3 linked regions of the Rattus norvegicus genome follow. The protein of the gene in region 2 interacts with the protein of the main gene of each other region in a biochemical or structural test. Links are inferred from orthologs where the notes say so. Each region holds a gene or a part of one and is shown on either strand. Other genes may lie near its edges.

Region 1 (3,748 bases), on a different chromosome or scaffold from region 2:
TCCCTGATACCAGATAGCATTAGAAATAGAAATTTCGCCAAGATATGTTCAAAGGGTGCGTTGGTTCAGATTTTCAACAGTCTTTAAAACTAGAATGCAAAAACTTAGACCTCACAATAATCAAAAGAGTTTATTAAATAACATACGGCAAGATTATAAAAGACATTTCCAGAATGTTCACATAGGTTTCCAAAGCTATGTTTTCTATAAACATTTATACAGGCCCAAACATGAAACTGTTGGGAAGGTTTCTTTACTCCATGAGTTGGCAGAACCTATTTTTCCCCCTCTCTGCATGGACCACTCCAAACAGAAATGTCAGTGCCCAAGAAAGAAGTCGCCTTAGCCTTATGAAGAATCAGGGGTCTGTGTCACTCTAAGGGTCGTGAGGGTACCTATCATGAGCAAGCCATCTGGAAGGCTGAAGTGGAGTGTGTGAGAGGAGTGCAGTTCAGAAGTCTCTCTCACGGCAGTACAAAGACTACCATCAGAGCATTTTGCATTGAAATCAGTGTGACAAGCCAGTGACCCTTGCTCCTTTACCAAGAGTCAACAACCCTCGTGGAGATACTCCCCAGCAGTGATGCCCATGATTCCACCTTGTGACAGTTTTACAAGATGACCCTGTGGGCTGGTGTTCCGTTTTAGATCACCAGGTTTCCGCGATCTCTGCGAGAACCTGAAGCAACTCAGCAAATGTCGGACGGCCTTTAGGGCTCTGGAGAACAGAGAGAGAGAGAAAGAGAGAGAGAGACGATCAGCTCGGCCTGCTTCTCACTCAGACACCAGCTGTGGAACTTGCAGAGATCCTCAACCCATCCCGGTTCTGCACAAACTGAAGAGCACCAGGCTCTGGCTGACACACAGTGGCACGGTGTCCATGTGAGGAAGCATGGTTGAGCATGGACGAGTATAGCGCAACGGCACGGATAAAACAGCCAGAGTTGTAAACGTAACTTACCAGTGGCTATGTAAATAAATGTAAAAGGAATACATATTTCAACTTGGCTCTCCAATTACACTAGCCACTCCTCAAATCCTCTGTAGCCAGAGGTGCCTAGTGCATGGACAGAGAACGTGTAGAATCTGTGTAGAATGTATGCAGACTACAGAAATTTCTTCTGGAAAATGACAGGGATTTGAAGTGTGAGGTCCCCAATTCCATATCAGTACTGGTTTACCATACTGGTCCCCTCTAGCAGGAAGGGCTTCACATAAAAAGCAAAAGGCACATCTCCATGTCTCCTCCAGGGATCCTGTAGATCCTGGAGCACAGTCAACCGTACCTTTGACCTCGGAAGCAGAGATCAGAGCACTTTCCCCTGTTTTACTTTGCAATGTGCTTTGGCTCTGTCTGCCTGGGGAAGACATGACCCTGTTGTCATCTCTGGAACCTGCAGGAGTTAGAGCTACCCACTGCGATGGGATGAAAGGGGTGGGGGTGGGGGGAAGCAGGTGGCAGACACTGTGAGAGGATCCTGATCCTTGATGAGGATCCAGGAATAAATCATGGACCTTTCTGGAAGGGTCCAGCTCAACAGGCAGAATCTGCCATGTTTATCAACAATCTTTTTTAAAAATAGTAAATTCACATTATTCCAATTATCTCACAATCAAAAACAGGCAGTCTAAGGAAGCCATTCAAACAAATATTTACCTAGCCCCAAATTATACCCATCAGCGAACTTCTATACAGTTAGATTGGCCATCCTTGGGCCTCAGGACTTCACTTAGGCTATTAGACTTCCACGATTAATTACATTTTATTCACTTACCCTCTGCAATGAAATCGAGATCGCTATGGGCAGAGTTGAAACTAGTAGCTTGTATCTCAATGTGCATGCGTGCTCTGTTTGCCTGCAGTTTGAGACGGTTCCTTCTGTGATCTTCCTGTTTACCCTTCTTCCTCTCAGCTCACAAATAATACACAAGATGGCCATGTTCTGTGCACACGTGCACGCTTACTAATGATCCTTGACTTAGGACACAGTCATCTCCCAATAAACCCATTCTAAGCTTAAAACATCATAAGCTAAAGGTGCATTTGTGCAAGTACTCTACCAGAAAGCACAGCTTAGTGACATCCACAGCAATCATTTATCCAATCTTGTGAGCTGTGGCTGCCTGAAAGATGGGCTCCTTCCCAGCATCTCAGTAGAGGCTCCTACTTCATATCAACATTAGATGCTTGAAACATGGCATTGTAAAGTTGGAAAAATTCTAAGTCAAAACCATGGAAGCCACCATCTGCGTGGCCTAAGCCATTTACATTGTGATGGGAACTAATATAGTGTGTGGCTACTAGCGACTTACTGGACAATTCTTTGGACTTTCAAGATTCCTTGTAGAACAGCTAACCATGACTATTTCCCTATTGATCTATTCCCATTGATCTTCCCAGATGCAATGCCTCTCTGAAATATGAACAGTCCCACCACTCTTGAAATACTGGTTTTCCCAGTGTTTGTGGATTGGGAATCAAATGATGCATGTGAGTTTGTTTGTGTTTCAGGCCATAGGAGACCCCACCACTACCACCACCAAGCTGTGATTTTTCTGGGGTAAGCCTGCTAACTACAGAGCAGAGGTCTCAAAAACCACAGACTGATAAGAGCGGAATGGCTGTTGAATGGATGCCCAGAAAAGAAGGGGTGGGAGGTGGGGTGGGGAAGAGACAGAAACCTACCCCTCTGGCTTCATTTTTCATCTTGGCATTTCAACAAAAAGAGCAACTCCTAAGTGATGGTTTCCCAAGTGCTAGCTCCCAGCACAGCCTGCCTTCAGTTTCTATTCTGGTTTAATCTCTCTATCAGGAGTCTTAACCGGGGTGAGAGGAAACCCTTGAGTGTGGAGGTGAACAGAAGTAAAGTGCAATGAATAAAATGGCATCCTCCTTATTCTGTGGGGAAGGTCAACAAACCAGATTCTGTTCCCAGTTCCACCACCCAGTTCTTCAAGACAATAGATCATCTAATCAAGAGTCTTTAGAAACATCCAGTTTCTCTAAGAACCAATCCCAGACAGACAAGGCTTGGGAACGAGCTCCCAGATGAAAGTCCTTTGTGAGAAACAAAACAGACTTGAGACTGGGGTGGGGGTGCCATAAGAGAAGTGGTGGGCTGACTCTCAGGGTCATGATCAGAAAGCAGGCAGCAGGTACAGAGTCGGTAATAAGGGACACCTACCTCATGCCAGCAACTGTACATAACTCCGTATATGGACATGGGGGCCAGGTGAGGACGATAGAGCCGGAAACCTTTAGAAATGGCTTCCACCACTTGCAAATTGGACTTATTCTCAAAGGGCATTTTTCCTTCTGTAAAAACTTCCCACATTAAAACTCCTGCAAATAAAACATGTTAAAACAAGAGTCACTTGGAACCAAAACAACGGTTTCATTCAAGCTGCAAGATGTTAATCTCTTCCAGCCCCGGAAGCCAAGGGGCAAGGATCTCAAGAAGGCAAGGTGCAAATCCCAAAGGCCTTGAAAGTATAAAGTGAAAGGTGTGCGCTATTTTTTCTAATCCAGATGTTAAGCTCAAATTGTCAAGTTGGAAAGCAGATGAGCTTCTGCATAGCTAAACAAGGGAGTTTATTAAAAACACTGGAAACTCAGTGGTAACCCAGACCCTTTCCTCCAAGACTCTGTGATATGGGAGTTTTGGCTGAATTTGCCTTCTATGTCACCAGACTTCTTGTTATATGGCAGACGCTTGCTGGGGAAGGAAAGAACCAGAGAGCTGAGCTT
Region 2 (3,648 bases):
ACGTCCTCCAGGTAGCTCATCCCCTGGACAGAGGGCACCAGTGTGGATCGTGAGTCTAAATCTCACCTTAGGGACACTCCCACCTCATCCTGGCCCCAAATGAAGGCAGGGACTTGCACCCAAAGGATCTCCAGAGCCAGCAACCCCTAAAGCACATACCTTGGCAATCTGAACACACCAGTTGAGCAGGTCCTGGGAGCCTAGGCGACCTCGGTGTTCTCGGACATGGTCCAGAAGGCAGCCGTAGGGCATAAGCTGTGTCACCAGCTGTACTGTGGATGTCAGGCAGATGCCCAGGAGGCGGGACACATACGGAGAACCCACACCAGCCATCACATACGCTTCCTGCAGACGAGGGTACAAAGGGATACAGGAAGCCACCTACTTCCATCCACTCTCCTCTCCCAGAGACCCTCACCCATCCCTCACTGGCTACAACCAGAGCCTCCAGACTAGGAAGGTTAAGAGTCAAGGTTTAGGGGCTTCTATCTCAAACCCTGATGAGGAGAAAGCAGCCCAGATCTGCACCTGGGAGCTCCTCACATTCCCAAGGGGGAGCATGAAGGGGAGGGGCTTCTCACATTCCCAAAGGAGACAGTGAAGGAGGGGAAGGTCCTCACATTCCCAAGGGGGAGTGTGAAGGGGGATCACATTTCCAAGGGGGAGCCTGAAGGGGGTCTTCTCACATTCCCAAGGGAGGCCGGTGAAGGGCTGGGGTCCTCACAATCCCAAGGGAGAGGGTGAAAGGGAGGCTCCTCACATTCCCTAGAGAGGAGGGGCTTACATCTAGAATTTCTTTGTTGGCTTTAGGAGATGTGTTTTCTCTCAACACCTTGATAGCCACGGGGATTTTCACATTCTCCCCATCTGGGATCCAGATGCCCTGAGCAAAAAGAAAAGGACTTGAATCAGGCTCCCCAACAAGCCATTGAAGAGTAGCCTCCAGCTTGGCTCACTCCTGTCTCTTGACCCTGCCCCTCCCTTAGATCCACCCATGCCAGAACCTGGTCCCTCCTGACCTTGTAGACAGTGCCAAAAGCTCCTGATCCAAGCACCTTCACCTTCCTTAGCTCCGTCTCTTTTAGGATCCGCATCTGAGCCTGGTTGGGCATTGCTCCGCTGGGCGTCAGCGGCTCCACTAACTGAACAGAGAGGGTAGTAGGTAGGGTGAGTGCTGAGTATAAGCTGTAAGTCCGAGGGGGGCACTAGGAGGCCCTCACCATGCCTCACCTCAGTTTCCTGCAGCAGCCTACGCATCGTATACTTCCGGATCTTCTGTCTCCTTCGTTTGATTAGGATTCCAACGACCACCACTAAGATCAGGAACAGCAGGACGCCCACTACAGTTGCAATGATGAATGTCACCGGGCTGGAAACAGAGCCAGAGTCAGAGATTAGGGGCTAGTCTGAGGAGGAAGCTTGGAGAGACCCCCATGAAGGGACAGGAGTGTTCCTGGGCTCCAAAACTTCATGGGAGAAAAATGCATCAAAGGCCTTGTTAGTCTGCACTGTGCAGCCCACCCCCAGGGGCTTCTGCCACACAGGAAATAGGGTCTAGTAATATGTACCCCAAGACTCTCAGGTACTAGTCAAAGCATTCTTCAAGGAGCCTTGCAGTCGCAGGTTCCCATTACCAGGACCTTTATTTCTCCATGATATAATTGTCTATGATTCAGCTCATCTTGGGGCACACAGGGTCCCTGGATTCTCATGAGACCATTATTGGTTGGTATACTTAGTTTTGAGGCTACCTCACGAATAGCCCAGGCTGGCTTTGTATTCACAATCCATGTGCCTCAGTCTCCCAAGTGCTGGGGTTACAGGTGTCTGCCACATGTCCGGGCAGAACTCATTCTTGTCATCCTTGCTCCCTGAAACCCCATCTTGCTCTGCATGAGGCCTGTCGTTAGAGCCAGCATCTAATGTTTGCCTCACAGGCGAACAGCATACCCTAGACTGCTTTTCTCCCTTCTACCACTCTCCTCTGACAAACCAGAGTCCCATGGCCCAGGGGTCAAGAACTCTACCCTACCCTCCAGATCTGTGTATCTCACAACTTCAGTTTACACCCCTCTGCACTGGTGTGGCTCATAGCACACACCAGAGAGTTCTTAGCCACCCTCGATTTACATGACTCTCCACCTGAGGGCACAAAAAGCACAATACTCCATCCTGGAAGCTTCTAGCTGCCCAGCTAGAATACTCTCAGGCTCTGCACGCTGTCACTGCATCCCTAGGGAACTACATTTCCCAGCATCCCTTACCCCACAGCATCCTGAGCAGGACTATCCACTTGTTGAAACAAAAGTTAATAGAGAAAGAACGGGACTAAGGAGAGAGGCACATGCAGCATGCTGGTTAATCTCTCTTCATTACTGACCACCGAGGCCAATGAAGGAGTCGGGGGTGCGGGGGTACCTCTGGGGGCCCACCTGGCTCTCTGCTCTGCTGGGCAGCCTCGTTCATCCAGATCCACACAGCTGCAGAAGAGAGAGAGAGTGCCATCATCAAACCTGGGGACAGGCTCCGGGGGTGGGCGTGGCAGGATTACTCCATGTGACAAACAGAAACAGGGCTCCAGGTCACCAATTTGTTCTGTACCAGCCCACAAGAAGATTCCCTCTCCAGTCTGGGAGCCCACCTCCCCTGCATTGCTATAACTTCCTGTGCTGAGAGCAGGAAGCACTATTAGGGCGGGAAGGTCAGCTAGCCCCTCCACAAAAGAGGCCTAGGGTATATGGTACATGGAAGGAGAGTTTGAGGAGATCTATTAAACACACCGGGGCAGGGCTACAAGGAAAGGGTCTACAAGGTCCTGGCATCCATCTCCACCCACCAAGCAGTAAAATATCAACAGTTCTGCCTCAACAGTCGGTACTACCATGCCAACACCAGGTCACAAGAAGGCATGCACACAGACGCCCCTTTGTGTGTAGAGCTGAACAGCAATGGGCTGGTTTAAAAAAAAAAAAAATCAGGCCTTACTAGAAGAGGAGGAGCCTAGTCTTACTGCAACTTGATATGCCATCTGAGAGGAAATGGAGGAGGAATGGATTGGGGGTTGGAGGGGCTGAGGGGAGGGGAGGAGGGAAAGCGGTGGTCAGGATGAAATAAATAGGCAAGTGAGAGTGACATCCCTCAAACAGGGCCCGTCCTGAGCGACATGCTCTGAACTGAGACGTTTGTAGAGGGGTAGATGGAGATGCCCTTGTAGGAGAGGATGCGGAGCCAAGTTTCACCCCCCTGAAAGAGCAGCGAGTGATCTTAACCACCTCTCCAGACCCAAATGTGTTATTTTTGTAATTAGAAAAGAGATATAAGGGCTGGAGAGATGGCTCAGTGGTTAAGAGCACTGACTGCTCTTCCAGAGGTCCTGAGTTCAATTCCCAGCAACCACATGGTGGCTCACAACCATCTGTAAAGAGATCCGATGCCCTCTTCTGGTATGTCTAAAGAGAGGTGTAGTGTACTTATATATAATAAATGAATAAAAAAAAGAGAGAGAGATAAAAATTACACCTCAGTATAAGTTAAACCAGCCTCATATTATCGCACCCTTCTCGTAATACGCTCTAAAGAGGCTCCTGTCATGAAGACCCTCTCTTCTACTGAAGAGACTCACTCCCTCCACTCACGAGTGGGTGCAGT
Region 3 (3,726 bases), about 23 Mb from region 2:
CCTGGCTGGACATTTTGTTTTCTTTGCCTTAAGTACCCTTCCCCACTTGCCATTCAACACCGAACCATTCAACCTACACCATCTCATCTGTGGACTCCTTGTTCTTATTTGCTTTCGTTTTATAATATAGGGCCTGAAACACAGTGATCCTCCTGTCTCAGTTTCCTAAGGGTTGGGATTACTGTCATAGTCACTTTACCCGGCCCTTGGATTCCTCTAGGATTACTTAGTTGATTTCCTTGTGTCTCTGTTTCCCATCACAGCAGACATTAATGGTTTCCTGATCCCTCCCACTGGTCTGTGAATTCGGTGACTTAAGGCTCAGTCTAGGTCAGTACTGCACCTGCAAGGCAAATGTGTTATCTATGGCTACTCCTAGATAGCAAGAACTTCGACTGACCTCCGGGGAAACCGAAGGAAACACCGGGAAAGACCAGCTTGTTAGGGAGCTTTGAGGGCATCCTGGGACCACATCATCTTTTTTACTCCAGTCCTTTTACTGGAGCTGCTACCTGTAGGTCCTGGGAGAAAGACCGCCTCTACCAATCTGTCAAACACCAGTTAGTCAAACACCAGTCAGTCTGAAGATTGAGGCTCCGCCCCTTAAACCTAGACTCCGCCTCCCCATCCTCCGCCGTTGGGGTTCTGGACCGGGCGGCGACGCCCATGAGGACGCATGCGCACTGCGGGCCCCAAGGACTCCGTTTCCCTTCTCCCAATGGCGGGCGGCGGTCCCCTTCCCGGCAGCCTCCCTCGGGTAGAGAGCGCGTCATTTCCGGTGGGGAAGGCCCGCGGCTGCCGCCGCCATTTCGGGCGCTGCTGGGAGGCTTACACCGGAGCCGGTCCGCTGGGCGGCGGGCGCCAGGGCTGGAGGGGCGCGCGTGCCGGCGGCGGCCCAGCGTGAAGGCGCGGAGGCGGCCATGGCAGGCAACTTCGACTCGGAGGAGCGGAGTAGCTGGTACTGGGGCCGCTTGAGCCGGCAGGAGGCGGTGGCGCTATTGCAGGGCCAGCGGCACGGGGTTTTCCTGGTGCGGGACTCGAGCACCAGCCCCGGGGACTATGTGCTCAGCGTCTCCGAAAACTCGCGCGTCTCCCACTACATCATCAACAGCAGCGGCCCGCGCCCTCCAGTGCCTCCGTCGCCCGCTCAGCCTCCGCCGGGTGAGGGACAGACGGGCGGGAGGCCCGGGCGGGGGTGAAGGCCCTAGAACCCTGGTCGGCTGCAGGAGGGACGTGGGCAGAGAGGGCTGGAGTGAACCTGGCGGGGGAGCTGCCTTCTGACCAAGCTGGTTCCCACCGATGAGCGGGATTGTGGGGGAGGAGGAGCTGCTCACCGAGGCCTCTGGGTGTGCCTTGGGAGCCGGGGAAGGGGAACTGCTGCGGCCCCGGGGTGGGGCTGGGCGCCAGGGTCAGGCCCAAGGGCAGGGCAGGGCAGGGCCAGGCAACTTGGGGACAAAGAGTTAATGGGGATGTTGCGGGGACATCATTTGGCAGAGATGCCCAGAATGGATCTGCTAATCCTACAAGTGGCTTTTAGGCTTGAAACGTTTCCTGCAGTGTTAGAGCTGGGTTTGGCCATACTCCCCTGGTGGCCTTCGGTAGGAAGTCACCACGTACTTGGCTGGCTGGGAGGGATGGAGACACCCTCAGGAAGCCGGTCAGCTTTTTCCTTTCTTGGGCATTTTTCCAAAATCTTTTTACCGTGCTCTTCCCTTGTGGAAGGTGGTGAACTAAGTGACTTGGTAATAGAAAAAAAGCTTTCTGTGACCAGCCCAGCGTAATTGAAGCCTAGCTGGCAAATTGTGTCCAAGAGGTTTTAAGTGTCCAAAAGACTGCCCGCTGCACGTAGAGTTTCTAGTTTCAAAGTGATTAGTGGAGGAAGGTTTTTTTTTTCCTTTAGGAAATAAACCAAGCATAGGCCAGGGAGAACAACCTTGGAAGTGAATGGAATTTCATTCTTCCTGGGCTTAAACAGTGTCAGTCAACGTACTTCTGGGTCTTTTCTTGCTAAGTTGGTGCTGTGGTCAAAATCTTCCAGGATATGAGAGCAGACCTAGCTGGCAGATACACCAAGAATAATTATCCCGCTGTGTTTTCCTCATCGAGGACCATTGAGTTGTAATTGTCTCAGCTGTATTATTGCAGTTGTCTTGGCAATGTTAAGGAAATTCATGCACTTCGTCCTTGAAGTTTGTGAGATGCACAGTGATTCTGAGATTACTGTTGTCTCTGTGTGTTGGCACCAAGCTTCTTGCTTTCTGGATGTTTGAAGTGCAAGCTTGTTCCTCCTAGAGCTGAGCTAATCTCATGAATGGAGACTCCCTGGTTAGCCGTTTAGTAGACCTCCTTTTAGGATCATCCTAATTTAGACTTACTCCCTTTGGCCACAAATGAGGAGGTAGAGGTGGGATAAACAGTTCTTGGTGTTGGCACACAAGTAAGGGGAAAATTTGAGTACTGAAGTCTTCTTAGTCTTTTTGTGTCTGTTGGTTTAATAATATAAAATCAGATACAACACAATTGCCCTAAACATAGTAAATTCTATTTTTGTGCTATCTGTAAAATAATCTGTTGTTTTGTGTTAAGGGCAGTAGTAAGATGAAATGTTATTGTTGAAATTCAATTCTCAGCCAAGTTTCATAATTCATGCTTTTAATCCCAGCACCTAGGAGGCTGAGGCAAGATTTTACAAGTTCCAGGTCATCTGGGAAACTTAGCAAGATTCTGCCTCAAAATAAAAAGTTATGTTAGGGGGTGTGACTAGGGATATAGTTGAGTGGTAGTTTATTTGCCTGACATTTGGGGAGGCTAGGTTTTATTCCCAATAGCTGGGGGTGAGGGACTCGGTCCTCAGTTTTCTCCTTGTTTGAAAATGTGGGACTAGCATCAGGCAGGCTTGTGGTTTTATATCTCGGTAGCTCCACCTTTTCAAAATAGGTGTTTGGCCTAGGAGAGGAGAAGATTGCCAGTTTGTGGGTTAGGTGTGGAAAGTTCATTGGCTTTGTGGCAATTTGTTCTGTCGTGTTCCCCATTTTCTCTGTAGGACACTCAATTCACTTGCTGTCTTTATGATGGTCACTTAATCGCTGTTCTGCCATCCATTAAACTGTTTTTCTTTTGAAGCCACACAGGAATTACTTGAGTTTTAGAGAGACATATATAATTTTAATAGTTTACACTTATTGACTGACTATTGTATGCTACATGCTTTGCTAAATGTGCCTTATATAATTCACCATCAGTAAAACAATCCAATGAGTGAAATTCTGCAATCTCCATTTATTAAAACATTTTCATTTGGAGGTGGGGAGAAGAACTAGAAATCCAGTAACCTGTAACATTTAGCATATAAACCAGAATTTGAACTAGACAGTGTGACCTGAGAACTGACTATTGTATAATTTTGGTATTCTTTGTTTATTTGCTTTGGAATCCCTGGGGTGCACATAGGGAACTCCATTCTTTTGTTTTGAAACAGGGTTTCACTCTGCAGCCCTAGCTGGTCTGCAACCATATAAACTAGGCTGGCTTTGAACTCAGGAGAATTCTTGCTTCTGCCATCTGAGTGCTCTGAGATCCCGCAGAGTGGCTCAGTAGGCAAAAGCACAGCTTTGCCAGCTTGAGGGTCTTGTTTGATCCTCAATCCCGGGGTTGGATAAGAGAAGGAACACCTCAGAGTTGTCCTGACTTCCACAGACTCACATCAGTCATGCACATACTGTAGTT

Evidence for each region.
Region 1: the proteins of Erbb2 (region 2) and Txk form a complex in vitro, tested with the Homo sapiens proteins (2 studies listed by BioGRID and IntAct, with this or other methods). The link is inferred for Rattus norvegicus from reciprocal best matches to the Homo sapiens genes ERBB2 and TXK.
Region 3: the proteins of Erbb2 (region 2) and Crk form a complex in vitro, tested with the Homo sapiens proteins (2 studies listed by BioGRID and IntAct, with this or other methods). The link is inferred for Rattus norvegicus from reciprocal best matches to the Homo sapiens genes ERBB2 and CRK.

What each region holds. Positions count from the first base shown.
Region 1 is NC_086032.1:35,869,820-35,873,567, reverse strand, and holds the end of Txk (tyrosine-protein kinase TXK), read right to left. Parts: intron 3,344-3,748; coding exon 3,186-3,343; intron 719-3,185; coding exon 650-718; 3' UTR 116-649; downstream 1-115. UniProt on the Homo sapiens protein: Non-receptor tyrosine kinase that plays a redundant role with ITK in regulation of the adaptive immune response. Regulates the development, function and differentiation of conventional T-cells and nonconventional NKT-cells.
Region 2 is NC_086028.1:83,924,478-83,928,125, reverse strand, and holds part of Erbb2 (receptor tyrosine-protein kinase erbB-2 precursor), read right to left. Parts: coding exon 3,636-3,648; intron 2,481-3,635; coding exon 2,433-2,480; intron 1,370-2,432; coding exon 1,231-1,369; intron 1,143-1,230; coding exon 1,020-1,142; intron 884-1,019; coding exon 785-883; intron 346-784; coding exon 160-345; intron 24-159; coding exon 1-23. UniProt on the Homo sapiens protein: Protein tyrosine kinase that is part of several cell surface receptor complexes, but that apparently needs a coreceptor for ligand binding. Essential component of a neuregulin-receptor complex, although neuregulins do not interact with it alone.
Region 3 is NC_086028.1:61,028,036-61,031,761, forward strand, and holds the start of Crk (adapter molecule crk), read left to right. Parts: upstream 1-881; 5' UTR 882-920; coding exon 921-1,161; intron 1,162-3,726. UniProt on the Homo sapiens protein: Involved in cell branching and adhesion mediated by BCAR1-CRK-RAPGEF1 signaling and activation of RAP1.